7 linked regions of the Sus scrofa genome follow. The protein of the gene in region 5 interacts with the protein of the main gene of each other region in a pairwise test. Links are inferred from orthologs where the notes say so. Each region holds a gene or a part of one and is shown on either strand. Other genes may lie near its edges. The genes, in order: PNMA1, CCNH, TRIM23, MKRN3, PSMA1, PNMA2 and UBXN11.

What was found.
Region 1: the proteins of PSMA1 (region 5) and PNMA1 interact in binary tests that used the Homo sapiens proteins (3 or more experiments, as listed by UniProt). The two-hybrid records come from large-scale screens. The link is inferred for Sus scrofa from reciprocal best matches to the Homo sapiens genes PSMA1 and PNMA1.
Region 2: the proteins of PSMA1 (region 5) and CCNH interact in binary tests that used the Homo sapiens proteins (3 or more experiments, as listed by UniProt). The two-hybrid records come from large-scale screens. The link is inferred for Sus scrofa from reciprocal best matches to the Homo sapiens genes PSMA1 and CCNH.
Region 3: the proteins of PSMA1 (region 5) and TRIM23 interact in binary tests that used the Homo sapiens proteins (3 or more experiments, as listed by UniProt). The link is inferred for Sus scrofa from reciprocal best matches to the Homo sapiens genes PSMA1 and TRIM23.
Region 4: the proteins of PSMA1 (region 5) and MKRN3 interact in binary tests that used the Homo sapiens proteins (3 or more experiments, as listed by UniProt). The two-hybrid records come from large-scale screens. The link is inferred for Sus scrofa from reciprocal best matches to the Homo sapiens genes PSMA1 and MKRN3.
Region 6: the proteins of PSMA1 (region 5) and PNMA2 interact in binary tests that used the Homo sapiens proteins (3 or more experiments, as listed by UniProt). The two-hybrid records come from large-scale screens. The link is inferred for Sus scrofa from reciprocal best matches to the Homo sapiens genes PSMA1 and PNMA2.
Region 7: the proteins of PSMA1 (region 5) and UBXN11 interact in binary tests that used the Homo sapiens proteins (3 or more experiments, as listed by UniProt). The two-hybrid records come from large-scale screens. The link is inferred for Sus scrofa from reciprocal best matches to the Homo sapiens genes PSMA1 and UBXN11.

Annotation. Positions count from the first base shown.
Region 1 is NC_010449.5:97,049,058-97,053,326, forward strand, and holds PNMA1 (paraneoplastic antigen Ma1), read right to left. Parts: upstream 2,801-4,269; 5' UTR 1,961-2,800; coding exon 899-1,960; 3' UTR 93-898; downstream 1-92.
Region 2 is NC_010444.4:95,015,692-95,019,766, forward strand, and holds the start of CCNH (cyclin-H), read right to left. Parts: upstream 2,801-4,075; coding exon 2,684-2,800; intron 650-2,683; coding exon 527-649; intron 1-526. UniProt on the Homo sapiens protein: Regulates CDK7, the catalytic subunit of the CDK-activating kinase (CAK) enzymatic complex. CAK activates the cyclin-associated kinases CDK1, CDK2, CDK4 and CDK6 by threonine phosphorylation.
Region 3 is NC_010458.4:44,108,292-44,111,791, forward strand, and holds part of TRIM23 (E3 ubiquitin-protein ligase TRIM23), read right to left. Parts: exon of another isoform or gene 2,646-3,500; coding exon 2,516-2,645; exon of another isoform or gene 2,036-2,515; coding exon 1,925-2,035; exon of another isoform or gene 1,499-1,924; coding exon of another isoform or gene 1,460-1,498; intron 450-1,459; coding exon 325-449; intron 1-324.
Region 4 is NC_010443.5:142,498,169-142,502,117, reverse strand, and holds the start of MKRN3 (probable E3 ubiquitin-protein ligase makorin-3), read left to right. Parts: upstream 1-1,149; 5' UTR 1,150-1,276; coding exon 1,277-2,773; 3' UTR 2,774-3,949. UniProt on the Homo sapiens protein: E3 ubiquitin ligase catalyzing the covalent attachment of ubiquitin moieties onto substrate proteins.
Region 5 is NC_010444.4:44,738,910-44,742,901, forward strand, and holds the start of PSMA1 (proteasome subunit alpha type-1), read left to right. Parts: upstream 1-1,192; 5' UTR 1,193-1,326; coding exon 1,327-1,329; intron 1,330-3,110; coding exon 3,111-3,155; intron 3,156-3,714; coding exon 3,715-3,816; intron 3,817-3,992. UniProt on the Homo sapiens protein: Component of the 20S core proteasome complex involved in the proteolytic degradation of most intracellular proteins. This complex plays numerous essential roles within the cell by associating with different regulatory particles.
Region 6 is NC_010456.5:10,425,590-10,429,719, reverse strand, and holds the start of PNMA2 (paraneoplastic antigen Ma2), read left to right. Parts: upstream 1-1,330; 5' UTR 1,331-1,470; intron 1,471-2,205; exon of another isoform or gene 2,206-2,354; intron 2,355-3,440; exon of another isoform or gene 3,441-3,642; intron 3,643-4,130. Other genes in the region: DPYSL2 (dihydropyrimidinase-related protein 2), read right to left, coding at 618-971.
Region 7 is NC_010448.4:83,711,716-83,715,744, reverse strand, and holds the start of UBXN11 (UBX domain-containing protein 11), read left to right. Parts: upstream 1-1,229; 5' UTR 1,230-1,353; intron 1,354-1,362; exon of another isoform or gene 1,363-1,564; intron 1,565-4,029. UniProt on the Homo sapiens protein: May be involved in the reorganization of actin cytoskeleton mediated by RND1, RND2 and RND3. Promotes RHOA activation mediated by GNA12 and GNA13.

The sequences.
Region 1 (4,269 bases), on a different chromosome or scaffold from region 5:
GGATTTTTTTAGTGATGGGGGAAATCTTCCTGAAAAAATGAAGATACAGAGCTTAATTACACTGAAAATTTTTATATGTTGCAGAAAAATAAGAGAATTTAAAAAATATTTTTATTAATATACATGTATTTGATAACTTCGAATTTAAAACATTTAGAATCAGCATGAACATGGTAAACTACTCTTCAATGACAAAGATTTGAAATGGGGGAATAGATGCTGTAACTGGTTCCTATTAACCTCCCCATGCATTTTATATCTGCATCTTACACAGTGAAAACTTGATTTACACAGCCCTGTAAGCGCAGTATCGTTCTAACACCCCATTTTGTAGTCTCAGAACACTTTTCAATTAAACTGATCTAGATCTTTAAAGATGTACAGTAAGAAATCTGCACTGTAAAGCTGAATAATACCTTATTCACATTTCTTTCCATTAATATAAACCAGGAACAATTTACGGTAGACACAAAAACTATTCACCACAGTTAAGAGTAAACAGTTGACATTTTTTACTGAACAGTTCTTTTGGTATCCAGGCCCTGCACTCATTATACATCTGAACATGCAATTTCATATTTAATTACCTTGATGGGAAGAGTCACGAGACCACATTTTTCACAACCGATGATGGTGCCATGATGATAGCTTGCAATGAGGACTCACGTCCAAGCCTTTCCCTGGCATTGTAGCTAGCATGACCCACGAGCGCTGCAGCAGATCTGGTGCTCCCCTGCACGATTGTGCTAATGACACATGAATACCCAGGCCGGACTCCCGCCCAAAAACAAAAAACACCGCTTAGTCTTTACTAGCAGGAGACACACCTGTAAGACATCACAGAGACAATGAAAGCAGCCGTGATCTAGGTCTGAACTAACGCCCCCTTTCCTGGGACTCAGAAGTGCCCCTCCAGGCCTAACTGCAGGAGGGCGGCCTCAGCCTCCTCCTCCTCTTCCTTGGCCTCCTCCTCGCGGATCTGCACCAGCAACTGGAAGAGGTTGGGGGCCGGCCCTTCAGCAGCCCCGGTCAGCCACAACTGCCTTCGGATGGCTCCGCTGTGATTGGCCCCGGCAATGACCTGCTCCAGGCGGGCCTGGTTCACGTTATCTTTATCTATGGCCCCCTTCTCAACCACCTTCTGCAGCAGAGGCTCCAGACGAATCACATAAGCAGATAATTTTTCTCCCGGGTTCTGGTATGTGTTCAGAAATCTCACCTGCGCATCCCTAGAGCTCTCGACGCTCCCAAACACCTGCTCCAGCGCCTTCAGGCATTCAGCGGTGGTAATCGCAGGGTTGTTGGTCTTGAGGATGCGGATGACATCAGCGGCAGGGCCTCTAAGGCTCTCCATCAACCGCCGCCTCTTTTCTACATCAGGCACCTGCCACTCCTCTATGACCTCATTAGTGTGCTCCAGCCAGGGATCAAATGCCTCCTCCCCTGGCCCCGGAATGTCCCTTCCCGAGAACAACGTCAGCTTCTTGTACCATATGGACTCAACCAGAGGCTGAATAACATTATCCAAAATATAGTTTAGCATCTCTGCCGGCATTTCGGGGCCTGGGGCCGGAGTGGGGTTCTGAAACCCAAGGACACGGGCAACATCTTGCACGGTCCACCCCTCTCTTGCTAGGAAGAGGTGCAACCTTTCTAAAAATTCAGCATCGGAAGTGGGGGGCTTAAAGACTACTTTCCAGACCCCTCCTTTACCTGGCATCTCCCTGGGGATCGCAGCATAATCGACAGCACCAGTGAGCTCTAACAAGGCTGCTTTGGCATTCTCTTCCCTCCAGAACATTCTCCCAAGCACTCGATAGGGCACCTGGGGCATCGCAGCTTGAAAGGTCTCTTCGATTTCGGTCTCATCACAGTTCACAGGGATCCCCCAGACCAGAAGGGCTCTCTGGGAGTTCACATCCATCCCCCTACACCAATCTTCCAGCAGTGTCATCGCCATTTTCCCAACTATCAAGGGCCCCAATTCTACAAATACAATTAGACTGTGGCTCCCTGTGCTCTAAAACTGAAGACAATAGCAGACGCTCCCACCGCCACCTCCCCCCATATGCCCGAGGGAGTCAATCACGTTTAACAAACGACACCAGTGTCCTGCTCTCCTCTTTTCGCTGCCCCTCAAAGCCAGGCCTCCGCGTTCTCGGAACGAAGCCTCGGGGATGCTCAGTCACATGGCCATCGCCATCTTGTGTCTCCGGTCGGGATCCGCAGGCCGGGTCCTCCACTTACAGGAAGGTGTCGCGTCGGAGCGCAGAGGCGAGGAAAAAAGGCGGGCGGCGAAAGCAGGAGCCGCAGGGCTTGATCGCGGGACGTGGCCGCCTCTTCGCAGCCTGGGCGCCAGGCACTCGCTGCTGCTCCCAGAGGGTGCAAGCTTTCGTTGCCAGAGCGGAGCACGCCTCAGACGAGCTAGGAGCCGCTTCTCCGCAGACAAGAACTAGTACCGCCCCCGGAGGGAAAGACTGTCCTAAGGGAAAGACAGCGGCGGCAGCGAGGCCAACCCGAGAGAGCTTCTTCGTGGGCAAACGTATCCCTCTGGGCGGCGAGGACGCCAAGGACCAAGAACACAGGCAGCAGAGGCGCAGGAAAGACGCGGAAGCCAGGCTAGAGGAGGCGCAGGCGCAGTCGCAGGCAGGCCGCGGCAGCCCCGCACGCAGGCGACCGCGGGCCGAGGTGGGCTGGAGCTGCACAGTTGTACCTCGGTCCCACCCGCAGCCAGCCTAGCCTTTACTGCCGCAGTGGAGGGCGGGGCCGGCCTTCGACCCGCCTCGCCCCGCCCCCCGCGGCCCTGCCCGCGCGACCGTAGCCACGGCAACCACCGACGCGAGACGCCGGAGCTCTAGCGGCCTGCAGGGGCGAATGGTTGCCATGGTGGCAGCTCGGGGCCGCGGGCGTTAATTTCCTTTACCGCGCATTTCCTTTTTCGCATTTTCCAGATTTTTTTTTTTCTTAACAAAGCACTGTGTTTAAAAGATAATATAATTCTGGAGTGGATTTAAGATGATATCCGGCCGTCAAGAAAGACTTGTCTACTCGCGTCGCTCGTTCAGAGGCAATGCTGTATAATACCCTGTACCACCTGACTGCACTCTGCACCCTCTAAATTTTATCCCAGTGAGTTGAGACTTCTTCTTGTCTAAAATGTTGTAAAAAGATCTAGATCTCTATGAATAGTAACCCGGCAAACACTAATGTGTTATTTCCCCTGCCCTGGCATCATGGATAAAACAGGCCTTATGGTTCAAAAATGTCAAGTATCCTTTGGAAGCAAACCAAGGCACACTTACAATCCCAGATGGTGAGATAATAAATCTTTCCCCCAAAGGACACAGAAATCAACTCTGAATTTTTAAAACCTTATTTAATAAAAGGTTTAAAGATACAGAAGAACATTCAAAAGTAAATAAGTTACATAGGTACATTACAATCACATCAGCAAGATTTTCTTTAGTGTGTTAATTTTTTTTTTTATAAAAAGCACACAAAAAATAAAATCTTCCGTCTGGTCTATCACAACTGTACAGCAAAAGAGGTAATATTTATATATATGTACACTATTTTAATATGTAACAGTCTTTTAAAAAAGGGTGCCACAGGCAGCAAACACACAAAAGGCAGTGTCTGATTTTTTCAAAATAAAAGGAATATACTTATTTATATGCTATTAAAATATTTGTACAATAATTACAGACTATCAAGGCTGTTCCTGTGCTCTGTCCCCTCCAACAAGGCCTTTGACTAAGAGACAAATGAGGAAAAGGTGAAACAGCTGCAAATTGTTAGTTAGAGGCAAATATTAATACAGCAAAATATGGGGAGGACATACAATTGTTTTATAAAAATATGCATACTTCCTGTAAACCTAAGGAGTTAGGCTTGCCACTGGTAATAAATACCATCTGAGAAAACTGAGCCCCGGTAAAAACATATTTAAACAGCTGAGGCTTGTGTATGTGTTGTATTCCTCCTTCATCTTAACATCTGGCACATGAGAAGAAAGAGGTTAGGTCATTGAGGCAGTTAAATATAGGGGATCCCTTTAGACATAAGCAGCACACGACCTCTGTGCCAGGGGTGGAAGTGGAGTAGCCAAAGGGATAGGTGTGTACCTTAGCTGTGACAGGGGTTGCTGAAGGCATGGAGGACAGTGTCGAAGCCCTGTCTCCTTGGGTGGCTAAGAGACCTCAGAAATGGTCTAGAACACAGGCACTAGGTTAATCTCATGCCCTTAGCTGAGTGTAGCTGGAGGCTGCG
Region 2 (4,075 bases), about 50 Mb from region 5:
CTCAGAACCATACATGTGAAACAGCCACAAGACAAGTTTCACCCAAAAGTAAACCTCCAGTTTCTACTACTCAAGGTTTAAAAAATTACAGCATGACTTTTGGCTGGGGCATAGGATTACAGATGATGAATAAATGCATTATTTCACATGTGTGTGAAGAGTTTAAAAAGCACTAGTCCATGGGACCATAAGGTAGGAGTTATAATGCTCACTAATTGAGAATCTGGAGGGAAAGTAATTTGATTTTTTCTTTTTCTATAAAATGAGGATATCATGATCTATGTATCAGGCCTTAAAATTCTTTTGATATGAAATGATTCTTGAAACACTTCTGAGAGATACAACATAGGAGTTCATAATTTAAGGCATTTATGAAAAATGTATGTGACAAAAACTTAAATACATAAATTATATATTTATATAACAAAAGTATATTTTGGAGGAAAGTAGATAAGAATTAAATATAATTGATCAGATTTCAGAAATTAGCTAAATGACATTATACTTCACCACTACAATAACTTACCACAACAGACCTTGGCATTGCTGGCTTAAACACTGAACAGAATTCCAATAATCTTTTCTCATAGTATTTGCAGAGTATCATTTCTTCATGAGGCTCAAGAAAGATTGGGTCATTTGGAAGAACCTTTGAATCAAAAATTAGAATAAAAATGTAATGAATTAGATAATCTTAAAAAATTTTTTAATCTTAAAATATTTTTCTTTGTCCAGATTAAATTTAGTTTAGAGATCCAACCAAAAGGAAATATACCATATTTTTCCTTTATCAGAAAATTGCTAATATTACACAAAATAGCTTTTAAGAAAATATTTAATAAACTACACCATAACTGCATATTTTCTCAGTATGTCAGCTGAATATCTGCCTCACTAAGGTACAAGCAATCATGAGGAGCATGTGTATATGTTCATAGGTTTGATGTCATTATTTATAAATCAATAAAGATATACTGTCAATGGCTGGAAAACTTTCAATATCCCTCAGTCAGTTATTAAATCACACGGGTTTGAGTAAAAATCAACAAGTGTCACAAGGATAATTCTGATCCTTAACACTTTATCTCTTTCCTACCTTTGTAAAATCTCTACAGACTATACTTGATAGTTAATAAACACTACACATTTACAACAAATATTCATTTAATGCTATTAAGAGTTTAATTAGGACTGCCAAAAAAAGTGTTGATTTCTAGCCCCCAGTACCTCAGAAGGTGAGGAAATAAGATCTCTGCAGATTTAATTAGTTAAGATGACGTCACACTGAAGTAGAATGGGCTCCTAATCCAGTATGATTGGTATCTTTATAAGTAGAATATGTGAGGGCACAGAGACACATGGAGAACATTTTGTAAAGATGGATGTAAAGATTGGAGTTAGCTGCTGCAAGCAAAGGTACACCCGGGTTATCAGAAGCTGGAAGAGGAAAGGAAGGATCCTTCCTAGAAGCCACAGAGATTACCACTTGGCTAACACCTTGACCTCAGATTTCTAGCCTCCAGAACCTCAGACTTCTATCCTCCATTGTTTTAGACAATGAATTTCTGTTTTAATGCACCCAGTTTGTGGTAAATTTTTTAAGAGCAGTCCTAAGCAACTAACACAGGTTCTAACTTTAAAGACAGCACAGCCTTGTGGTTTACTGAAGGAATGCTGGAACGAGATTCCAGGGGTTCAAATCCTGGCTCTGTCACTTATTAGCATATAGCCTGAGAAGTTATTCAACCTCTCTGTACCTCAGTTTCCTCAGATGTAAAGCAAGGAAAACAACAGTATCTACCTCATGGAGTAGTTGTGAGGGCTGTATGAGCTCACACATACTAAATACTTGAATTTTGCACAATATGTATTACTTTGTGCAGCACAAAGTGATATGAAGTAAGTTGTGAATTATAGGTAAAGGTACCTCAGTACTCAGAATCAAAACAGGTCTGACACAGAAGCTAGAATGGATGGTGGTGTTTTTTTGGAGCTTGTGAGCAAAGATTAAACCGAAGAGGAAGGAGAACAGGAAGGACGTGGCTGGCAGGCCACAGTCCAAACCATCTCTGTCTGGTCAACTGGTTCATGCTAACGGTCTCTTGTCCCCCTGCCTCCACCATGCCCCATCCAATCAATCCATTCTTTCCCAGAAAGCTCGTTCTACAACAGAATCTAACAGGGTTAATTTCCAATATAAAATTTCACAAACTTTAAACTCTTTACTTCCATTTACGAGTCCCCTGTCTACCTTCTCCAGCCTTTCATGCACAGGTACTCAGCTTCCGCCACACAGAACCATGAGCGTTCCACGGACCAGCCCTGCAATTACTGACCTTCTACTTTGCACTTGTGGCTCTGTCCACCTGGAAGGTCCTTCCCCCATCTTCTCCACAACAGCTGATGAGAAAAGTCCCTCCCCTCATTATATTAGCATCCTACAAAGTGTATTCTTTGCCGTTACTGCTTTTTTATCTTTCCTTCACTTGACTGTAAGATGGATAGTTTCGTCTGTCCCTAACCCAGAGCATCCGGCAGAGTGCTCGTCGTTTACTAAATAAACGCACTCTGCACTGAGAAGGCAGGGGCAGGTAGGAAGAAGGTGTGCAGGGAGTCCTGGCGGAGGGGGACGGGCTAGAGCTCGTAGAGACCTAGGTAAGGGGCCGGCAGCGGGAGCTCTTACCTTCCCATTCGCCACTGCTTTGCATCTGAATTTGCGGTTGGCGTCGGCCCGCAACCGGGCTAGCTGCTCCTCACTGGCGAAAGTCCAGTGCCGCTTCTGGCTACTATTGTGGTACATACTTAAGTTGGAGGCCAGGCCCAGAGGGCCTTGAGCGAGGACCGCGAACTGCGCCGCACCAGAGTGGAAAGCAGATAAGCCACAAACCAAGACCCCTGGGAAGCCGAGGGAATCAGGTCCGCCTGGCGCGGGCGCGTTGACGTCAAGGTCACGTGGTAATCCCCTCCGCAGTCGCGCTTCCGGAGCGGAAGAGGAGAAGAATGTCTCCGCGCGGGATCGCTGGCCCGCTGCCCACGACGCAAGTAGGCGTAGCCTGTAGAAGGCTCCTCCTCGCTTTTAGCCTCGGTCCTAGCTCCGCCCTTCCCCACAAGATTTAAAGGAGAAGCGACAGGCAGGGTGTCCAAAAGGGAATAATTTGTGGCTATGTTGAAGCTAACATAAGCAATTCACGTGGGATAAGTGAAGTGTGGAAAGGACGTGAGAGGGTGTCACCTTTTAAATAGAATGTTCAGAGGAGGTCTCACTGAGGTGACATTTGAGCAAGGACTTGAAAGAGTCGCGGAAGTACCAATCATGTAGCGGGTGATATTGGAACAGATGGAACAGTCAAGGTCCTAGGGCAGAAGCATTCCTTCCTTCCGTTTTAAGGAAGAACGTCTGGGGCGCTAATTGGAAAACTAGAAGCAGTGCAGGAGTATTGTCCTTCACTGTTGTGACACGTATGTGTCCCTTTCTATTATTTTCTGTGCCTTTTTTCTTCTGCTTCTGTTGATGACTAGCCAATCCTCTCCCCCATTTCCATCTCTGAGGCCACAATGTATGGTAGTGGTAATTTTAGGGTTTTCTTGAGATTCCCATCTTTATTATTGCCCTCAAGGGAGCCTTACAACAAGCTGTTATTAAACTTAAGATTTTATATCTATCTATATATATGTAAAACTAATGCTTTCAAAATTGTTTTTGAGATACAGAATTTACATTGATCACATAAAAGTCTTTACTGATTTTATATTTGTCCCATTTAGGCATACCTTCTCCTGTGCATCATACATTGTGTTAGAAAGGATGGATTTACTTACTGTAAGTTGTTTTCCTAAAAATAAACATTAAAAAAGCACATAAAGATAGTGAGATTCAGAAAGTTGAAAAGGTCTATAGGTAAAAAGAGGTTTCATGGTATCTCTAACTCTGCTTTCAATGAAAATATTTTTAAAGCCTTATGAAAGAGAGAGTTTTTTTCCCCCCTTTTTTGTTTTGTTTGGGTGGGTGCAGTTGAAGGTAGACTTTTACAGTTATTTGAATTTCTTGAACTCACACCATTTGTAGTTTATAACC
Region 3 (3,500 bases), on a different chromosome or scaffold from region 5:
GACCTACACCATAGCTCACAGCAATGCCAGATCCTAACCCACTGGGCGAGGCAAAGGATGGAACCCATGTTCTCATCGATACTAGTCAGGTTCTTTTCCATTGAGCCACAAAGGGAACTCCTACATAGGAGTTTCTGGTGAGCATCAACTACTTTATTTCTTTTGGTATACTCCAAGGTACCAAGTACAGCACTTTCCATAAAGATTGTACTCAAAATATAGAACAGAAACTTTGTAAATATCTAAATGATTTCTCTTGAAATAGTAACAGCTACCTATAATATGGAATACTAAAATAAGTATTCTGAAATACAAATGTGTCACCTGTTTGTTAGCAAAAATCAGGAGCAAAGCATCTCGGAGTTCCTTTTCCGTCAACAACTTTGCAAGTTCACTGTGTGCTTCACTAACTCTGTCTCTGTGACTGCTATCAACAACAAATACAACAGCTACCAAAAGAACGTAAAAATGTTCAATTAGTCACTTGTTAAGTTTCAGCAAATGGACCAAATATTTTAATGTTCTCATTATGATAATCTATGATCATTTTCACAGAAAGGCTGCCAATTATAGGAGCACCTAGCAATAATTAATGATATGATCTCAAGTAGTGAACATAACTTTTCAATTGTTGTTTCCCAACCTATAACAGGATTTACAACACTTGCACTACCAAATAGAAACTGCTGTTCATACCATTTAAAATTTTTTTCTTAATGAATGAAAATGCAGCTCTCCTGATCTACTTGCTGGTGCTACTTCTTCGATTATTACTTCATTTACAAAAAGTCTTTGCTTTTTTTTTTCTTTTTAAGACTGCACCTGCAGCATATGAAAGTTCCCAGGCCAGGGGTTGAATTGGAGCTGCAGCTGCAGCCTACATCACAGACACAGCAACACAGGATCCAAGCCACATCTGTAACCTACACTGCAGCTTGCAGCAACACTGGATCCTTAACCCACTAAGCAAGGCCAGGGTTTGAACCCGCATCCACACAGAGAAAATAGCAGGTCCTTAACCTGCTGAGCCACAATGGGAACTCCAAGACAGTTTTTTAAAAATAAATAAATCACCATCTTTATCTCCCCAAAGTATTCTCTGTAGGTGCCTGTAATGGCATGTTCCATAGATTAGACTGAAAATACACAGATGAAGCTTCATAAATAGATACTGAATTAATTCTCTTTAAAATATTTCCAGCTTCCTCCTGTAGCTAAACATCCCAGACTTTCAACCATTCTTCATACTCAAAATTCCCTTTTTTCCCCCTTAGTCACTTGCTCATACTAAACTTAATATCAAAAATCCCAAAGTAAAAATTATCTAGTCTTTCTTCTAGGTGGAAAATAGGATGATATATGAACATAAGTTTCAGGAGGTAAAGCATAAAATGAGGCCCAAATGCTAAGTGGAATATATGTGATATAACACAATTTGGTCAAAAGCAAACCACTTCAGGTTCTTCTGCAGATAACAACTAATTGTGAATGGAAATGAAGGAGTGGAAGCTATTGAGAGAATATAATGGAATTGAACTGAATAGAGTAACAGAACTATACCCCACAAATTCTACTCTATACGACAATATTGCCAGTGATCATGCTCATATGAACATTAATACTAATCTTTGTTAAAAGCAGCAAGAGGTAAGTATGCTTAACTGTCTACATATATAACATAAATATGGTTGTTATGCTATAATTATGCTTTTCATGAAATAACCCAGAGTACATATCCCAGTTTTTCTAATTTTCTTAATAATGTTACTAATTTTCTTAATAATGCGGTGTCTGCTACAAATATATAAAGGTATAGTTACATATTTAATCAATGCTAAAGCATCAGTTTTATTACCTAATCAATGCATTGAAAACTGGCATCCTAAAAATTTGAAAAATTATAATGTAACTCTTATACTCTTACCTTGGGTATTGAGGTAATAATGTTTCCACAATGGTCTTAATTTGTGTTTTCCACCTACATCCCAAATGGTGAACTTTAGATTTTTATATTCTACAGTTTCCACATTAAAACCTGTTTTTAAAAAAAGTTTCTTTAATACTAAACTTATATTTACAATGAATGACACAACAAACACAGGCAACACCATTTACAACTGTAACTTACAAATTATCTTCATACAACAATATCTACTGCTGCCCAACTAACTCCACTCCTAATAAGCATACATGAGGAAATTAATACCTTTAACCAGAGCTCTTAGGACCTTGACACTGAAGTGCCAGCTCTGCACCACTACCACCTCCTCACCCCAAATCCTTAGCCAGTCATCAATCCTTTATTCCTTGCAACTGTACCACCAATATTCTGTTCCTTCTTACTATCCCTCTATCCACATTTCAGTTAAACAGCCACTGAATATTCCATTTTTTTCTCCATGGCAGAGCCATTCTCCACAGCAGACAGGCATAAAATAAGGTCCTAAGAACTCAGCTATAAGCTAGAGTTTGTATGTAAAGTGTCCATTAAAGATAAAGCAATACTCATACTTACCAATTGTTGGAATAGGCTGCATAAACTCATCCTGTTTTAATTTAAACAAAATAGTAGTTTTTCCAGCACCATCTAATCCTAATGTGACAACTCGAATTTCCATTTTTGGTCCAATGTGAACTCTATTGTCCTATAATTTTTAAAAAATTTAATCTTTTTATTTTGTTATGGAGTTAAAAGTATTAGCACTTAACACTTTTATTTACAAAAAACTTCTGTTAATTATTTGTCTCCTACTCATTCCTCAATCCATTAAAATCAGTTTAAAATACCCTGATTCTGATATTCTCAGAGGAATCACTCCTCATTGCTTTGCTAAATCTTGGCTTAGTAAAACTTACTACATACTTTGTTTTAATACAAGTTAAAAAAATATACACATCCACTTCTTTATCCCAGATTTTCTAGCTCAACTGAATCTTCTTTAAATAAAATTTTTATGCTGAGTTAAATATATTAATTAAAAATGAAAAGTGATGCTCATTTCCCATAAATATCCACTGTTAACAATTTCATGTATGTCCTTCCAGACACCTTTCTGTGCACACATTGGTTGACATACATAAAACAAATATACTTTAAAAAAAAAACATATTTCAACTAACTTTTCACAATTAACATTATGGAAATCTTTCATTTCAAAACATACAGACATACTTTTCCTTTCAATTGCTTCATTATATTCCATAAACCACAATTTAACTAATCTCAACTGAAAGATACTAGGTCATCTCTGATTTTTTGATATTATAAATAATGCTGCAATGAACATACTTGTATATATTGCTGCATGACCTCTCTGCCTCACTTCTCCCATCTGTAAAATGGGGAATGAAAATAGCACCAGACTTATATAGGATTATTGCATATATTAATTTTTAAAAAGACATGTAAAAATCCTTAAAACACGTAGCCCATAAATGCTATATAAATGTCAACAATTATTTTACTTCCTCATTTGTGCACTCTTTTTGGCTTTTGTGAT
Region 4 (3,949 bases), on a different chromosome or scaffold from region 5:
AATCCAATAATATATAAAATTATAATAAATCATACCACAAAAAGGTTTTTCTTGGAATAAAAAATGGTAAGTTAAACAGTTAAAACCTAGCAGTGCAAATAATCACAACAACAAGACAGGGAGAAAATAATATGATAACCTCTCAAAAAAATGCAGAATACTACATGATAAAATTCAGTAGCCATCCATAAATATGCTTTATATTTGAGAATTTACTTTTTTAACCAATATAATAAAATGCACTTGCAAAATTAAGAGGTACCGCTTACAGGGCATAGAATATGCTATGAAAGGCTGGTCTAACACAATACCACACAAAAAAGGATGAAAGAAGGGGAAACAAAGAGCCACTGTGAGTCAAATTAGCAAGAGAAAATAAAGGCTAGGGTCACAAAGGGCACAGGGGCTAATTAAGCCAGCATCAAGCCCACTGAAGTCTGCTGCTTCTGCACAGAGGGAGGGAAGCATTAGAAATCACAATAACCTAAGACAGCTGACAGGCACTAAAGCAGTCACAGATCACAAACGCTCCCTGCTAATGTCTCACAGGGGAAAAAACGTTTCCAACAAAAGCCGGTAAGAATTTCCAGAAAACAAAGAGCAGTCTCAAGTCTTTTCAACACAACTAAAGGGATTAAAGCTGCTAGCAGGGAAAGTCAGGAAACCCATAAATAAACATGACAAAAAATACGACCCACACAGACATAAAATGGAGTGAACAAACAAAGCATTTATAAAATTTATGCACGAGATGTTTCAGAAACAAGACACCCTTTTAAACATACGGGGCTTTAAAACAAACGAGGATTAGACGCTTTAAAGAGAGATGTATGAAAAAGCATTCAAATCACAGTGTCGGAAGGAACAATGGAAGCGATTGAATTAAAACCTCAAAAGGCTGGGATTCCTTTCCCCAGGAGAGACGCGGGGGAGCAGGGGCTGCGTGCAGAGAAGCGGAGACGCTGCTTGAGCCGAAAGCGGGCAGCGCTGCTGGCTGCGAACAAAGAAGGAAGCCGGTCAGCATTCCTGACGGACCGATCGGACCGATCGTGCAGAAGTGATGTAGGACCGATGTTGCCTCCACAGGAAGTGTCCGGCGCTGCCAGAGAAGGAAGTAGGAACACAATTACAGGAAGTAGGGACCGGGGGAAGCAGAAAATAGATGCACACTTCCTAAAAATCAGCCCCGAGCTAGCGCCCGGCCTCCGGGCCTCAAGGCTGACACAAGGAGACACCGGGGTAGTTCCGGTACCATTTCTGGGGAGCAGAAGCTGCCATGGAAGAGCCTGCAGCTCCCACAGAACCCTACGAGGCAGCTGGGACATTTGGGGACATCGAGGCAGCCGGGGAGATCAAGCCTTGGCCCACCCTTCCGGTGCCTCCCACCTCCCGGTGGTCTCCGGCTCCAGGCCCAGCCCCCTTCCGTCCGTCACGTGTGAGGCCCGCCCAGGAGTCAGGGGGAGGGGCTGGGCCCAGATGGCTGCCGGGCCGGAGCAGTGGCAGCTGGACAAAGGAAGTGGTCTGCAGGTATTATCTGCATGCTCAGTGCAAGGAGGGGGAGAACTGTCGATACTCCCATGACCTCTCAGGGCGGCAGGTGGCCAGGGAGGGCCCCGGTTCACCACCCCCAGCCTCCACAGACAGTGGCCCCAGCGCGGCTGCGCACGCCGAGGCCCTGCCTCAGGAAGTGGCGGAAGCCCCCCCGGCTGTGTCCTCACGCTCTTTTCCTCTGATTGGCTCTGCTGAGAGGGTTTTCTTTGAAGCCGAGACTGAATATGCAGGCCTTGAAGCTGCGGGAGGAGCAGGTGCGGAAGGCTGGGAGCATGCCATTGAGTTTGTTCCCGGGCAACCGTACCAAGGCCGCATGGCCCCTCCTATCTACGTGGCTCCTCCACAGGGCTTGCTGACTGTGAGGGAGCAGTTTGCCTTGGGCCAGAGGCAGCAGCTTTGCCGCGATGCTATCATGGGGCAATGCTTTCGTGGGCCAAGCTGTATGTATCTTCATGGAGATATGTGCGATTTGTGTGGGCTGAAGGTCTTGCACCCCTTTGATGGTGCTCAGAGGGCAGACCATAGAAGGGCCTGCATGGAAGCACATGAGCAGAATATGGAGCTCTCGTTTGCCGTGCAGCGCAGTGCGGACAAAGTGTGTGGCATCTGCATGGAGGTGGTCTATGAGAAAGCCAACCGGAATGATTGCCGCTTTGGCATCCTCTCCAGCTGCAACCACACCTACTGCCTTAAGTGTATCCGCAGGTGGAGGAGTGCCAGACAGTTTGGGACCTGGGTCGTCAAGTCCTGCCCCCAGTGCAGAGTCATCTCCACCTTTGTCATTCCCAGTGAATTCTGGGTGGAGGAGGAGGAAGAGAAGCAGAGACTTATTCAGCAGTACCTGGAGGCAATGAGCCACAAGCCCTGCAGGTATTTTGTAAGAGGCAGGTTCTGCCCATTTGAAGAGAACTGTTTTTACAAACATGCCTTCCCTGAGGGCCAGGGAGAGGAGCCCCAGAGGCAGGGTGCTGGGGCACCCGGTCCTTGGCGTGGTCAACTTTTGGAGCCTCCGCAGGTGGGAGAGGGCGACATGCCCTTTAAAAGCTGTAAAAAAGAGCTTGTCATGCTTTGGCTGGCCAATCTGTTGTGTCAGTGTTTTCTTTCATGGGGAGCTAATGAGCTCCCCTGCTCAGAGACCCAGTGGGACTTGCTTCATTGTGAGCTGGAAGAATATTTCAATTTGAATCTGTGGCATTCTGTGGCATGTTGTATGGTGTGCTGAGGCTCTGTCATCTGCTCTTGCCTGTGTTGTGTTTATAGACACATCTGTCACTTACAGAAGCTGCTGAAACCATTTGTTTAGAGCATCCATCTCTGTTTTCTTGCCCATTCCCATTTCTTTGCCCCTAGGGTTATGGTGTTTCACTGTGCTAAAAAGTCACAAAACATCCTTAAAGTTATTGTTTGGTGAAATTAATATGACTGTCAGTTTATGGTTTATTTTGTCATCTCTGTTTTCAACAGGATTGACTCAGTTCTAGTCTAGTGTTTACAGAATGTCCACACTCATTTTGAAGCCCCTCAAGAATAAATGTGACAGGGTGAAGGGAGAAGTCTTAACTGAACAAGGAGCTTTTTGCTACTTCAGCCTTAAGAAATCGACCCTGGAGGGGCCTTGTGGTGCAACTGCTTATCTCTGTTGTTTACACATTTGTTGCTTCTCATCCCTTTCAAGTGCACTCTTTAACTTGTGGTTACCTTGTGGTTTTGTGTTTTACTTGACCAGAACCAAGTGCATATGTTTACATGTTTTTATCCTGTTTAGCTTGATGTGAAATTATTTATATTTGGAAGTAATATTTAAGAATTATATATATGCATATTAATGTGTGTGAAAGCGATATATTTGAGGATAAATATAAAAGATATACACCATTTTATTATGTTTATGTAGTACATACAGAGCTAGAAGCTGAAAGTTAAAGGCTGATAAGATTTGATGTTGGGTGAATGTGAGGTGTGTGAATAATTCTGTCCTTTTCACAGGCTTCTGTGATTAGCATCTAATGAAAGCAGCTATTTCAGTGTCTCTAGCCAATTGTGATCATAAAGAATTTACAAAATACCAACATTGGTAATTCCTGTGATGGAATTAATAGCTTACCCTGCTGTTACCAATATAGAAATGTGAGTTCCTGTGCAGTTTAGACACCATCTCATTATTCTTTATAACAGCACAATCCTGGACTCAGATACACATTCTTTGTATTCAGTATTTTGTGTGATCTCTAGATATTCCAAAGAAGGGGCTTGTGACAAAAGTTTGCAACATAAAAGCGACAAGATTGTAAAAGATAAAGTAGACTAATAAGCATATTGAAATCAGTCAGAATGCAAGCATGGAAAGATAAAAAAATACAGAAAAGTAACAAAAGCTAAGTATGATAGTAATTTGGAA
Region 5 (3,992 bases):
GAGGGATAATTTTGGTTTTTTTTAGGGCTGCACCTGTGGCATATGGAAGTTCCCAGGCTAGGGGTCCAGCCGGAGCTGCAGCTGCGGGACTATAGCGCAGCTCTCAATAACGCCAAATCCTTAACCCACTGAGAAGGCCAAGGATCTAACCCGCATCCTCACGAGGACAATGTGGATCCTTAACCCCCTGAGCCAGACAGGGAGCTCCAGGAGAGGGCTTAAATATTAAACTTAAATATTAAACAATGGGGGTTTCGGTAAATAAAATATCATATGTTCACAATGCAGAATATCGGGAATCTTGTTTAACCTAGAAAAATTTTAATATAAAAAAGTGTCCAAAATACATGTGACAAGGTTTTTAAAGTGCGATACCAACTTGCTCTAACTTGAACAAATCATTTAAGGGAGCTGAGTCTCTTCATTGACAAAGCTTAGATCCTTAAAGACCCCTTTCAACTCTTACCTGAGTCTAGGTACTCATCCTTTCTTCTTCGTAAAGAAAAGAACTCATCATTGGCAGTCAGTAAATTTTAGGTTGGCAGCTGTTTGTAGAGCTATCCTAAACTATTTTCTCTGAGAATTTACTAAAAGATGTTCGCAAAAAGGAAAATACCTATTTCGGAAGAAGATGTCCCTCAGTTGCCTATTCTTTCAGGCATCGTGCTTGGTTTTGACGGCAAAGACATTAATGCCCTCAAAAAGTTTAAAGTCTGATAATAATGATAGTGATCAGTGACAACAACGCCTGGAAAATAAGGAGTAAGGAAAAGGATTCCAAAGTAGAAAGAAAATCATGTCCAGAAACAAGATACTCCAGGAAGAGTACCGTTGACACGAAGAAATGGACCATTATTTGTGGTCTTTTTTTGCAGTCCTGTTCTTCTCGCTACCCAACACCACAAATCTCTGTGGACGCTGAATGAGAGGCTGAGCAGTACACCAGGAATCTCGGGTGCATCCGGCCGGGCCGGTGAGAAACTGACAGGAATCTACAGCTCACAGGTAACTTCTCTGAGGATCCAAGAAAGGCGACTTGATAGTGGCCACCCAGCGACTATTAGCTCCCGCGGGCGTTCCTGGCCCAAATTTTCCCGCCAATGTGAGTTTCTCAGATTTCCCAGGCCCCGCCCACTCCCGAGCGGGCGGAGAGCTTTGAGGGCGGGGAAGCGCCGGAAGCCTATCGCTATCTCTAGAATAGACTGCTCTACCCTGCGCCGACGCATAGTCCCGCAGACTTCTCTGCAGATCGCCGAGCGGTAGTTTCGGCAGCGCTCCTTGATCTGCAGGTTTACCGGAGGCCGTGACTAGGCTCTCGCCGGAACCATGGTGCGTTGGATTCCGAGCTCAAACAGGGTTGGGGCACAGGCCCGCTGGCTGGGGGTTGGCGAGTGATCTCTCTGTCACTCTTAGAGCGGGCCGGGGCTATGGGACATGGGAACCTCAGCCGATGGGGGGTTCTGGAGTGATTCAGCATCTCTGGCCTGGCCGGCACAGGGGAAGTCGGTAGTCGGTGCGGCCTTTCCCCTGGGTTTGTTTCGCTTTCCATCCGGCCTTGAACAATACCTCCTCGGTCTGCTAGCCGAGTTCGCCCCTCAGTTTCCTTCAGTCGAGTAGATTCCGAGCGGTCCAGAGGGGCCCCTAGTGCTCTGTGTGAGAGAAAGGAAAAATTGGGATTTGACTTTTGGAATCTCCCTGTATAGCCAATAGCAGAGTTGAGAGCTCAATTCTCTTTTAGAGCTCAATCAGAAAAGGCCTTTTTTCAGTCACTTATCCAGTTAAGTATTTTTATGAAAGAGTAAACTGAAGCTGATAGAAGTGATAGAATAAGGGTTACAATATAGGGCTCAGAGCTTCCAGTCCTATGTCTACCATTCCAGCAGTCAGCCTTCTCACCCTAATGATTGGGCTCCCAAGTACTGTGCTGGCAGACTCATTTTAAGCTGTCTTTAAAGCTGTAATGGGTCCGTCTCTGTGGCTATTTGTGTCCACTTCTGACTTTCTGGGGACATTCTTGTGTGTACTCATTCTATAACAATGTTTTAAATGCACTGTTTTAACTACAGTGAAGGTTCAAAGATAAATCAGACACGTCCCTAATCGTAATATAAGGTCGAAAAAAAAGGTGTAGATAAAGGAATGGTAGGAGTATGTGTTGGGATTTGGGGAGGAAAGATGGAGAAGGCTTCAAGAGGTAGACATTTGAGGTATTTAAGGAAAAGGAATGCTTTTTTTTTTTTTTTTTTTTTTTGTCTTTTTGCATTTTCTAGGGCGGAATCCGCGGCATGTGGAGGTTCCCAGGCCAGGGGTCTAATCTAATCGGAGCTGTAGCCCCGGTCTACGCTAGAGCCACAGCAACGCAGGATCCGAGCCTCGTCTGCGACCTACACCACAACTCACAGAGGCGCCAGATCCTTATCCCACTGAGCAAGGCCAGGAATGGAACCCGCAACCTCATGGTTCCTAGTTGGATTCGTTAACAACTGAGCCACGACAGGCACTCCAAGGAAAAGGAATGCTTTTGATCGTATTAGGTCTTGGTATCAGGGAAGAGAATAAGCCAAAGATAGAAAGGAGAGTGGACACATAGGAACTTTAGTAATTGACTGAACTCAAAGGCAGTGCAATGGACAGTGGTAGAATTGGAATTTGGGAAGATAGGTCCCATCTGGCTCTGCTCTCCCCTCCCTCACAAGCTCCTTGTAAATGTAAAATTGGCTTGCAACTAAGTACAGTAGAAATCTTCCAATGAGGTTGCAGTAACAACCTTTCATTAATGTTGGATGGAAATAGACTAGAAAATTATTATTATTATTATTTTCTTTTTTTTTGCTTTTTAGGGCTGCACCCAAGGCATATGGAAGTTCCATAGGGGTCCAGTCAGAGCAGCAGCTGGAATCTGACCTATGCCACAGCTCATGTCAATGCCAGATCCTTAATCCATTGAGCAAGGCCAGGAATCAAACCCTTGTCCTGATGGATACTCGTTGGGTTTGTTACCAATGAGCCACGATGGGAACTCCAGAAAACATTTTTGAGTGATAGAGCTTGTTAAGATTTGGGTTTTGTAATGTTCTTGTATTAACAGATTTTTTTTCATTTACTTTCAGTTTCGCAACCAGTATGACAATGATGTCACTGTTTGGAGCCCTCAGGTAAAATGTTTTATACTGTTTCTACAAAGTTGCTTTTGGTGGCTGCAACTTAAAAATGTTTTGGATAGTATGCTGTGAGAAAATATAATCATTTTAGACATTCCTGTAAGTTTCCTAGTTTTAAAGAACATCGTTTGAGGTTTAGCTATTCTTACCTGAAATTTGGGATCTCTGAGTTAATTTTTTTTCTGCATTTGATCATATGGGGATATTTATGTCATTTTTAAAAAATATAATTGTTTAAAAATATAGTTGTTTTACAACGTTGTACTAATTTCTGCAGTACAGCAAAGTGACCCAATCATCCATATATATATATACACATTCTTTTTCTTGTATTACTTCCATTGTGTTCTGTCCCAAGAGGTTGGATATAGTTTCCTGTGCTATATAGTAGGATGTCATTGCTTATCCATTCTAAATGTAACAGTTTGCATCTACTAACCCCACACTCCCAGTCCATCCTACTCCCTCCCCCGTCCCCTCTAAGTTAATTTTAAATCCATGAAAGGGTCTTGTACAATGACTCTAAGGTGTATTGGGTTTTTTTCCTTTTTAGGGCAGGATTCATCAAATTGAATATGCAATGGAAGCCGTCAAACAAGGTTCAGCAACAGTTGGTCTGAAATCAAAAACCCATGCAGTGCTGGTTGCATTGAAGGTAAGTAAAGCAATAAATATATCTTCCTCTTTTAAAAAAGAGCTACTGGGAGTTCCCATTGTGGCTCAGCGGTAACAAATCCAACTAGTATCTATGAGGATGTGGGTTCGATCCCTAGCCTCACTTAGTGGGTCAAGGATCCGGCATTGCTGTGAGCTGAGGTGTAGGTCACAGAC
Region 6 (4,130 bases), on a different chromosome or scaffold from region 5:
AGATTCTCGCTTGCAGTCCGAGGAGGCGCTGACCATGGTCCTGGCCTCCGAGCTCGGGATGCGAGAGCGGAGGACGACAGAGGGGATGCGCTGGAAGTGTACGCAGGGCGCGGCGGGGAGCTGTCGTCTAGGCCCCCGCCCCTCCCGACCCCCGGGGAACCCGCCGGCCTTCACGCGAACCCTCCACTGCACGCTCTGAGCTGCATCAAAAAAGGGTGGGGCAGCCAGACACAGCTGCAATCGGAAGCTGCCCGGGAGGATTTAAGAAGAATGGAACCTCGGCCCATCCCCTCCCCCTCCAACCAAGAGACCCCCCAGCCGGGGATAGGCCCATCCTTTACCCCTACCCCCACCACCCAGGCCCAGGGAAGCGCGGGGAGCCTTTGTGGGCGCACAGCCGCCCACCGCCCAGCCCGAGCTTCTCCGAACCCTGCACGGAGAAGGGGCGGGTAGGGTGGGGTGCTTGTGCACATGCAGGGAAGCGATATTCGAGGTGGGGCAGGACGGTGGGCACGCTGGGATCCTCGGCTTTTCACCGAGCTGGAAGGGGCGCGAGGGAGGGGCGAGCCCCACGCTCCGTCCTGTCTCGAACACCTCCGCCCCTCCTCCATACCAACCTGGTCGTTGATGTTCTGCAGGGCTTCCTTACCGGAGGCCCGCCGGATCTCCACCTTCCGGCCCGATTCAACAGATGGCTCCCCGCCGGCGCGCCGACCCTGCCGGGAGTACGGCGGCTGCGGGTCCGGGCCCAAGTGGGCGACGTCCCGCTGCTGAGCCACCACCTGCCCCGAGCCCCGGCCCACCGACAGCGAGTCGAAGTCGATGGTCTTGTTCTCCGAGGACCCTTCCACCGGGCAGAACATGCCACAGAATTTCTGTCGAGGCTTGGGGCTACCGGAGCCCAGGTTTTTAAAAAAGGCAGGGACCTCTTCGTCCTCTGCCGCCTTCCCGGATTGCTTCCTCTCTGCCATGGCTTGGGGGCTTGGGGAGTGTCCTCTCTGTCCGTTCTTTCCTCAGCGGGTCCCTAAGTCTGCCTGTCTCTGTGCAAAAATCCCCCCCGGCTGCTGCCTCGGCTGCTGCTCTCTGCCTACCGCAAGGTGTACAGAAAGGAACGAGGGCTGGCGAGCGAGCGACCCACCCCTCCCGGTCCCTCCCCCTGACCCCGCTTTCTCCCCTCCCTGCCCACGCCCCCCGCAGCCTCGCGAGCTCCCGCGAGCGGCAAAGTTGGGGTTGGGAGGGTGGCCGCTGCGGCAGCAAGAACCGAGAGGCTGCCAGTTACCAGCAGCGGCGGGAGGTGGGGGGAGGCGCGGGCGGGGCGGGGGCGGGGCGCGGCGCTGGGGAGGGGAGCTCAGCGCTGGGGAAGCTGGGGAGGGCCGCGCCGCCCAGACCCCACGCTCCGGAAGTGAAGCGGCCAGACCCCCGGCTAATGGATGCGGAGCAGAAAGCCCGCTGACCGCTCTCGGCCCCAGGGTAAGTATGGGGCAGGGCACGCTGGGGCGAAGATCCGAGGGCGCCATCCCAGGCCCCCGCTCCCCTCTCCCCGAACTGCCCGGCCCAGGCACCTCTCTCCCACCGCAATGCAGAGCTGGCCCAGGGGCGAGGGCCCACTGTGTGGAGGGTTCCCTCCCCCTTACCCGAGTGCGAGCTAATGGATAGGAAAAGGGGCAGAAACTGGTAGACTCAGGACACTCAGCGGGAAGGTAAGGGGCGGCACTCAGGACGGAGAAAGGATGGCGCAGGCTGCGCAGAGTGGTGGGGGCCATATAGGGCGCGGTCTATCCATTGGCCTTGGTGGGCTACTGGGAGCAGAGATTGAAACAAGTTCCTCATTTACTATACCCACTGTGGTGGGGGGCGCGCAGCGTGGCGGAGAGAAATGCAGAGAGGCATAGCAAATGCGGAGGAAGTCGGTATATATAGAGAGAGACATAGGTCCACGGTCTGTGGGAGTGTAGCAAAGAGTGTAGTCTGCAAATTCCAGCCCAGCGCGGCAACTTGGATGTATAGTGAGAGAGGGAGCAGACCGCTACACTGGCGCGCCGTATACCGTAATTGCGCCACAGCGCCAAGAAAAGCCCAGCAGAATGCATCTTCCCCCGCCCCCAACCCGGCAAAGAAGGGAGAAAGACATTCTTTGAAGCCCACTCCCCAAATCTCCAGCCCTACCCAGCGCCCAGGGCGCCCCGCCTCATTTCCCCGCCCTGCTGCGCACTGCGCCAGAACCACGGGGTTTCCTAGGTTGCCAGAAGCCTCGTGCCTGAGGCCTTCTTGCGCGCGCGGCCAGTGCAGGGTAAGGAGATGGGGTGCCAGCTGTGATGAGTGAAGAACTGTGTGAAATCCAGCAGGAGAATGAGGTATGGGGACATGGTGTGCATGCGCCAGTAGACTAGCCACAGCCACCACCGGTTTAGTGGGCATCCAGAGGGCATTTTAATGTATGCCAGTAACACAGTCTCTGAGGGCTCTTTATTACTTACACCTATCCCTCTGTCCTTTCCACGTCTCAGTCCCTGCCCATGATTGATTACAGCCCTGCCTTTCTCTCTTCAGTGGCAAAATCCTGCAGAAATGATGCCCATCCTTTGGCTGCTGGAGAAGGAGCTCTGGGCATGCTCACTAAGCTGGGTGGGTTGGACTGGAAAACACTCTACCATAGGAGTGTCGTTGCTGGGCAGAGTAACCAAAGATCCGATCCCATTGTCATCCCTCACCCCTGGAAGGGTTAAATGTGGATACCCTGCCTCTCCCAATTGTGATGGATAGTTTGGTAAATGGAGTTAAATTCTGAGGACAACCAGTCCCAGTTTGAAGATAAGCCCACCATGATAGGTGGGAAGGCATCTGGGGATGAGAAGGAGAGGAGGAGGGAGGAGAGAGGAATTTACATGTGCAGGGGATGAGAGAACCAGAGGCAGGCATTTGGACTGAGCACCAGATGTGCTTCACATTTGAATAAAATGCTTCCACACGAATCACGCCATTTCCTACTGCCAGCAGCCCCCTGAGATGAGTGTTTCATTGTCACCACTTCCCAGGATTCCAGGGTAGAAAACAGATGTAGAGGCTTTGCCCAAGGTAACTGTCTAGTTAAATGATCCAGCAATTCCAGTGAGGTCTTCCACCTGGAAGTCTGGTTCCTTTTTGACCTTATCCTGTCTTTATAGGAGAAAGGACAAGATTTTCACATTTTCCCCTATATTCAAATATTTCCATCTGTGGCTTTATTGTGTGTCAGGAATGTTTCACTCGCCTTTTATTTTTATTTTTTATTTTTTTTAACTTGAAGGTAGGTTGCATTGCAGGTAGAGACTGGTTTTGGAAGAAGAAGACACCCAAAGATAGCCTAACTTCAGCATGACCATTATTATGTAGACCTTAGAGCTGTTTCTTCCTGGGTACCCAGTGTCTTTTTCCACCTTATGTTTCCTCTATTGCAACAGGGAGGAAGGTCACTCCCACGTCTTAGAAGAGGAACAGGAGGCATGATGAAGTCCCTGGGTTCAGATCCCTGGGGCTGCAGGGCAAGGACGTGATCCAGCATTTTGCCCTTCTGACCCTCTGGCACATGCCCCACTTTCAGCACCTTCCAGAAGGACTCAGGAAATGTGCCTGCAGCAAGAACAGCTGCCACTGTAGCTGCAGGTTGGCATCTGTGGCATATGGACCCCATTTGGAGTGATGGAGATTTTTAGGGAAAAAATAGTTGTGGCACCTTAACACACACTCCACGATGCATGACAGCAACGGGATGATAGACAGTCTTCCCTTTTTACATTATTCAGTCTCCACCGGCTCACCACAGATGTGCCTCCTCGATTTTTCTTTGTCCTCAAATCACCCATTCAAGTTCAGATGCTATGAAGAAAGCATCATGTTACTAATGAAACATTTATAGCAAGAAAGGCCCCTACTTGTGCATTTTCAAAACCTGACCAGGCATAACCATAGGGAATTCATAATTCCAAGTTTAACTTATTTGGTTCTACAAGTTTTTTCTAATTGTTAAACCTATATTAAATTTTACCTATAATGTTATATTAAAGTGTATTATATGTTATATTTTATACCTGTGTTCAGTTGGTTTTAAATGTTTGAGTGATTTCTGATTGGATTTTTTAATCAAAGAAATG
Region 7 (4,029 bases), on a different chromosome or scaffold from region 5:
TTCAGTCACACCTTCCACTTGAACTGTTCCCCTGGCCATGGACCTGAACCACCTGTACCCTGGCTTATTTTTGCTTGCATGTTTTACTTAAGTGGGAGCTTCTAGAAAGAGCACAGATTCTGGAGGCAGAGAGTCTAGATTAGCATCGACTTTTGCTGCTTTCTACCTGTATGGTCTTGAACAAGTCACTTCACTTCTCTGAGCTTCAGTCTTCTCTGCTGTAAAGTTCATAATGCTGACAGTGGGCACTTGAAAGACACTCATTAATTGGTAGTTCCCCTCCTTCTCCAATTGGTGTGTAAAGAATGCCTCAAGGAGCCTGCTCTCTCCTAAATGCAGTAGATTAGAGTCAAATGGAAAATACTACGTGTGGTTGAGACATGCAGAAAAAGGGCTTTGGTAGCTGAGCCAAGGCATAGACTCTCAGAGTATCACAGGTGGAAGGTTGTGAGATAACGGTAGTTAAAAGCAGGAAATGTTTTGAAAGCTTACTCTGTATAGCTATTGTGACAGGCACTCTGCATACATTATTTCATTTAATTCTCACACAACCCTATAGGGGTGGGTATTCTCCCCATTTTACAGAAGAAATTAAGGTGAATAACTTGCCCCAGGACGCACAAGTCAGGGGCCTGGACTCCAAAGGCCAAAGTCCATGCTCTTAACTAAATCACCTTTTGTTGCTCTAATCCAATACCTTATTTTTTTCATGTGAGGCTCAGGAGGGGAAATGTCTCACCCAAAGTCACAAAAAGAAAAAAGTGTTTTATCCGAAGGCAGGGGGAATCTTACCTGAATTTTTACACAAAGGAAATAGAATCTGAGCGCCCCTTTAGGGCACCATTTGGTCAAGAAGTTAACAGAGGTTTTCAGATTTAAGAAACATTTATTAACTACTTGCATCATGTCAATTCATACTCCAAAGAACTCCCCCTTAGCACTGTACTGATCAGACGAGAAAACAGAGAAACGTAATTTCTCCCCAAATCAATTTAGCAAAACAACATTGTCGGGATTACAGCTATGGATCCAGCGACTTCTAATGGCTTCGTGAATCCAACCCCAGGCCCTCCACTTTCAGTGCCTTGGGGTGGTAACAAATAGACCCTCCGTTCCCCCAAACCCAGAGTCCGCGCAGAGCGGTGGATTCTGGGATTTGCATGTATCCCGCGAGGAGTTTAGACTCTGTGGGCCAATAGAATTCGAGTACAGAAGGCTGTACCCTCCTCCGCTGCCTGCTGGTTGCTCAGGACCCCACGTATTAGCCAATGAGAAGTGCACTGGTCCTGGTTGCCTGGGAAACCGCGTGACAACAAGATGGCGGCGCCGCGGGGGGCTCGGCCGACCTGCGTGGTGAGTTCCAGCCCCGGACCTTTCTGCCCGCAGAGCCCCCAACGCAGGCTGGGGCCCTAGCACAGAGAGCCTCGAGGACAAGCGAGCCCGGCGGATCAGCGGGCCCTCAGCGTTCTGGGAGCAGATTAGGCCCCCGCCTACTTTGGCAGCGCGTGGAGGGGGGAGGTGGCGACGCGGCTCCCTGGGCGGAGCTGGTGGTAGAAGTTGCTAGGTGAGCGCTTCCAGCTGGAGATTTGGGGAATGAAGGCGTGCAGCTGGCTGGTCTGTGTTGGCGCTGTAGAGCACAGAGGCCCGTGGAGGGACAAATTTGGGTCCCCAAAATAAAGAGGCGTAATACAAAGCCCAAATTTTAGCCGCCCCAAAGTGAAGGCAATAGTGGTGGCTCTGTCCTCAGGGTCCCCAGTCTGAGGGAAAAGACACAGCCCTGCGCTCAGGAGCCCCCAGGCTGATGGGAGGATACAGTTGTCATCCGTAGGGGTCCTCTATAATCCATGGGGAAATCGATCCGGAGTCAGTGTGTTGGGCTAGAGTGAGACTGGAAACTGGGAAGTCAGTTTGGGGCCATTGTGACAGTCCCAGAGAAGGGCAGTGAGAGCCCCACTCTAGGATGGCCAACAGTGGCCATGGAAAAAAAAGGAGCTATGTATGAGAGAAATGCAGAGTTTACCCTGCAGGGGTAGGATAGAATTAAGAGGGAAAAGAGTCAAATTTTTGCCTCTCATTAAGAAGGAGAACGTGGTGGAGTTCCTGTCGTGGCACAGCAGAAACGAACCCGACTAGGAACCATGAGGTTGTGGGTTCGATCCCTGGCTTCGCTCAGTGGGTTAAGGATCTGGCATTGCTATGAGCTGTGGTGTAGATTGCAGACGCGGCTGGGATCTGGCGTTGCTGTGGCCCTGGGGTAGGCCGGCAGCAACAGCTCGGGTTAGACCCCTACCTGCGAATCTCCATATGCCCCAGAGTGTGGCCCTAAAAGGACAAAAGCCAAAAAAAAAAAAAAAAAAAAAAGCAGGAGGAAGTGGGAGGAATTTATGTTGAGGGAAGATATGGGTTTGGCTTGGAGGCCAGGTCCCTTTTTTTTCCTGTGATAGCTTTATTGAGATATGTCACATACTATATACTTCACCCTTTTAAAATGTAAATTTCAGTTGTTTTTAGTATATTCATAGAATTGTGCAGCCATCACCACAGTCAATTTTAGAACATTTTCATCAGGAGTTCCCGTCGTGGCGCAGTGGTTAACGAATCCGACTAGGAACCATGAGGTTGCGGGTTCGGTCCCTGCCCTTGCTCAGTGGGTTAAGGATCGGCGTTGCCGTGAGCTGTGGTGTAGGTTGCAGATGCGGCTCGGATCCCACGTTGCTGTGGCTCTGGCGTAGGCCAGTGGCTACAGCTCCGATTCGACCCCTAGCCTGGGAACCTCCATATGCCGCAGGAGCGGCCCAAGAAATAGCAAAAAGACAAAAAAAAAAAAGAACATTTTCATCAGTTCCAAAGGAAACCCTATACTCTTCAGCAGTCCACACACACACATGCACACCCCACCTCTCCTTAGCACTTCCAACCCTAGGCAACCTCTAATCTATTTTGTGTCTATAGGTTTGTTCACTCTGGATCTTTAATATAAATGGAATCGTAACAATTAGTGGTCTTTTGTGATGGACTTCTTTCCCTTAGCATATGTTTTCAAGGTCCATTCATACTGTAGCATAGATTTCATCCCTTTTTCTTTTTTTCTTTTTTTTTTCTTTCCTTTTTCTAAAAGGGCCGCTCCCACGGCATATGGAGGTTTCCAGGCTAGGGGTCTAATCTGAGCTGTAGCCGTGCTGGCCTACGCCAGAGCCACAGCAACTCGGGATCCAAGCTGCGTCTGCAACCTATACCACAGCTCACAGCAACGCCGGATCCTTAACCCACTGAGTGAGGCCAGGGATCGAACCCGAAACCTCATGGTTCCTAGTCGAATTCGTTAACCACTGAGCCACGACGGGAACTCCTCATCCCTTTTTCATTGCCAGATAGTATTCCATTGCAAGGATATATCACATTTGTTCATTCATTGGTTGATGAACACTTGGGGTTGTTTCCAGCATTATGAATAATGCTACTTATTGAACTGATATACAAATTTTTGTGTGGATGTACGTTTTTATTTCTCTTGGGTATATACCTGGGGTGTGGAATTGCTGAGCCACAAGATAACTGTGTTTAACCTTTAGAGGAACTGCCAAACAGCAGCCGTGCCATTTTATATTCAAACAAAGTTTCCAGTTTCCCTGCTCATCCTTGCCAGTGTTGGTTAATATCTGTTTTTTTGACTAGTTTCTTTTGAGGGGTCATTATGGTGACTAGAATTTAGAGAAGAGAAAGATAATCAGGTCTGGTGAAAGTTCATGCAGGGCAGTCTCAGCCACTAAAGGCCCAGTGCCTGAGACTTGAGTGTGGTGATTGTGATGGGGGTTTCATGACTCGGAATACACTAAGGACCAGTGAATTATATACTTTAAAAGAGTTGGAATCCCTGCTGTGGTACAGTGGGTTAAGAATCCAACCATAGTGGCTCAGGATGTGGCCATTAAAAAAAAAAAAAGAGTTAAGTATGTGAATTATACTTCAATAAAGTTGGGGGTTTCTTGCATTTTTTATTTTTATTTTTTACCTTAAAGTATAGTTGAT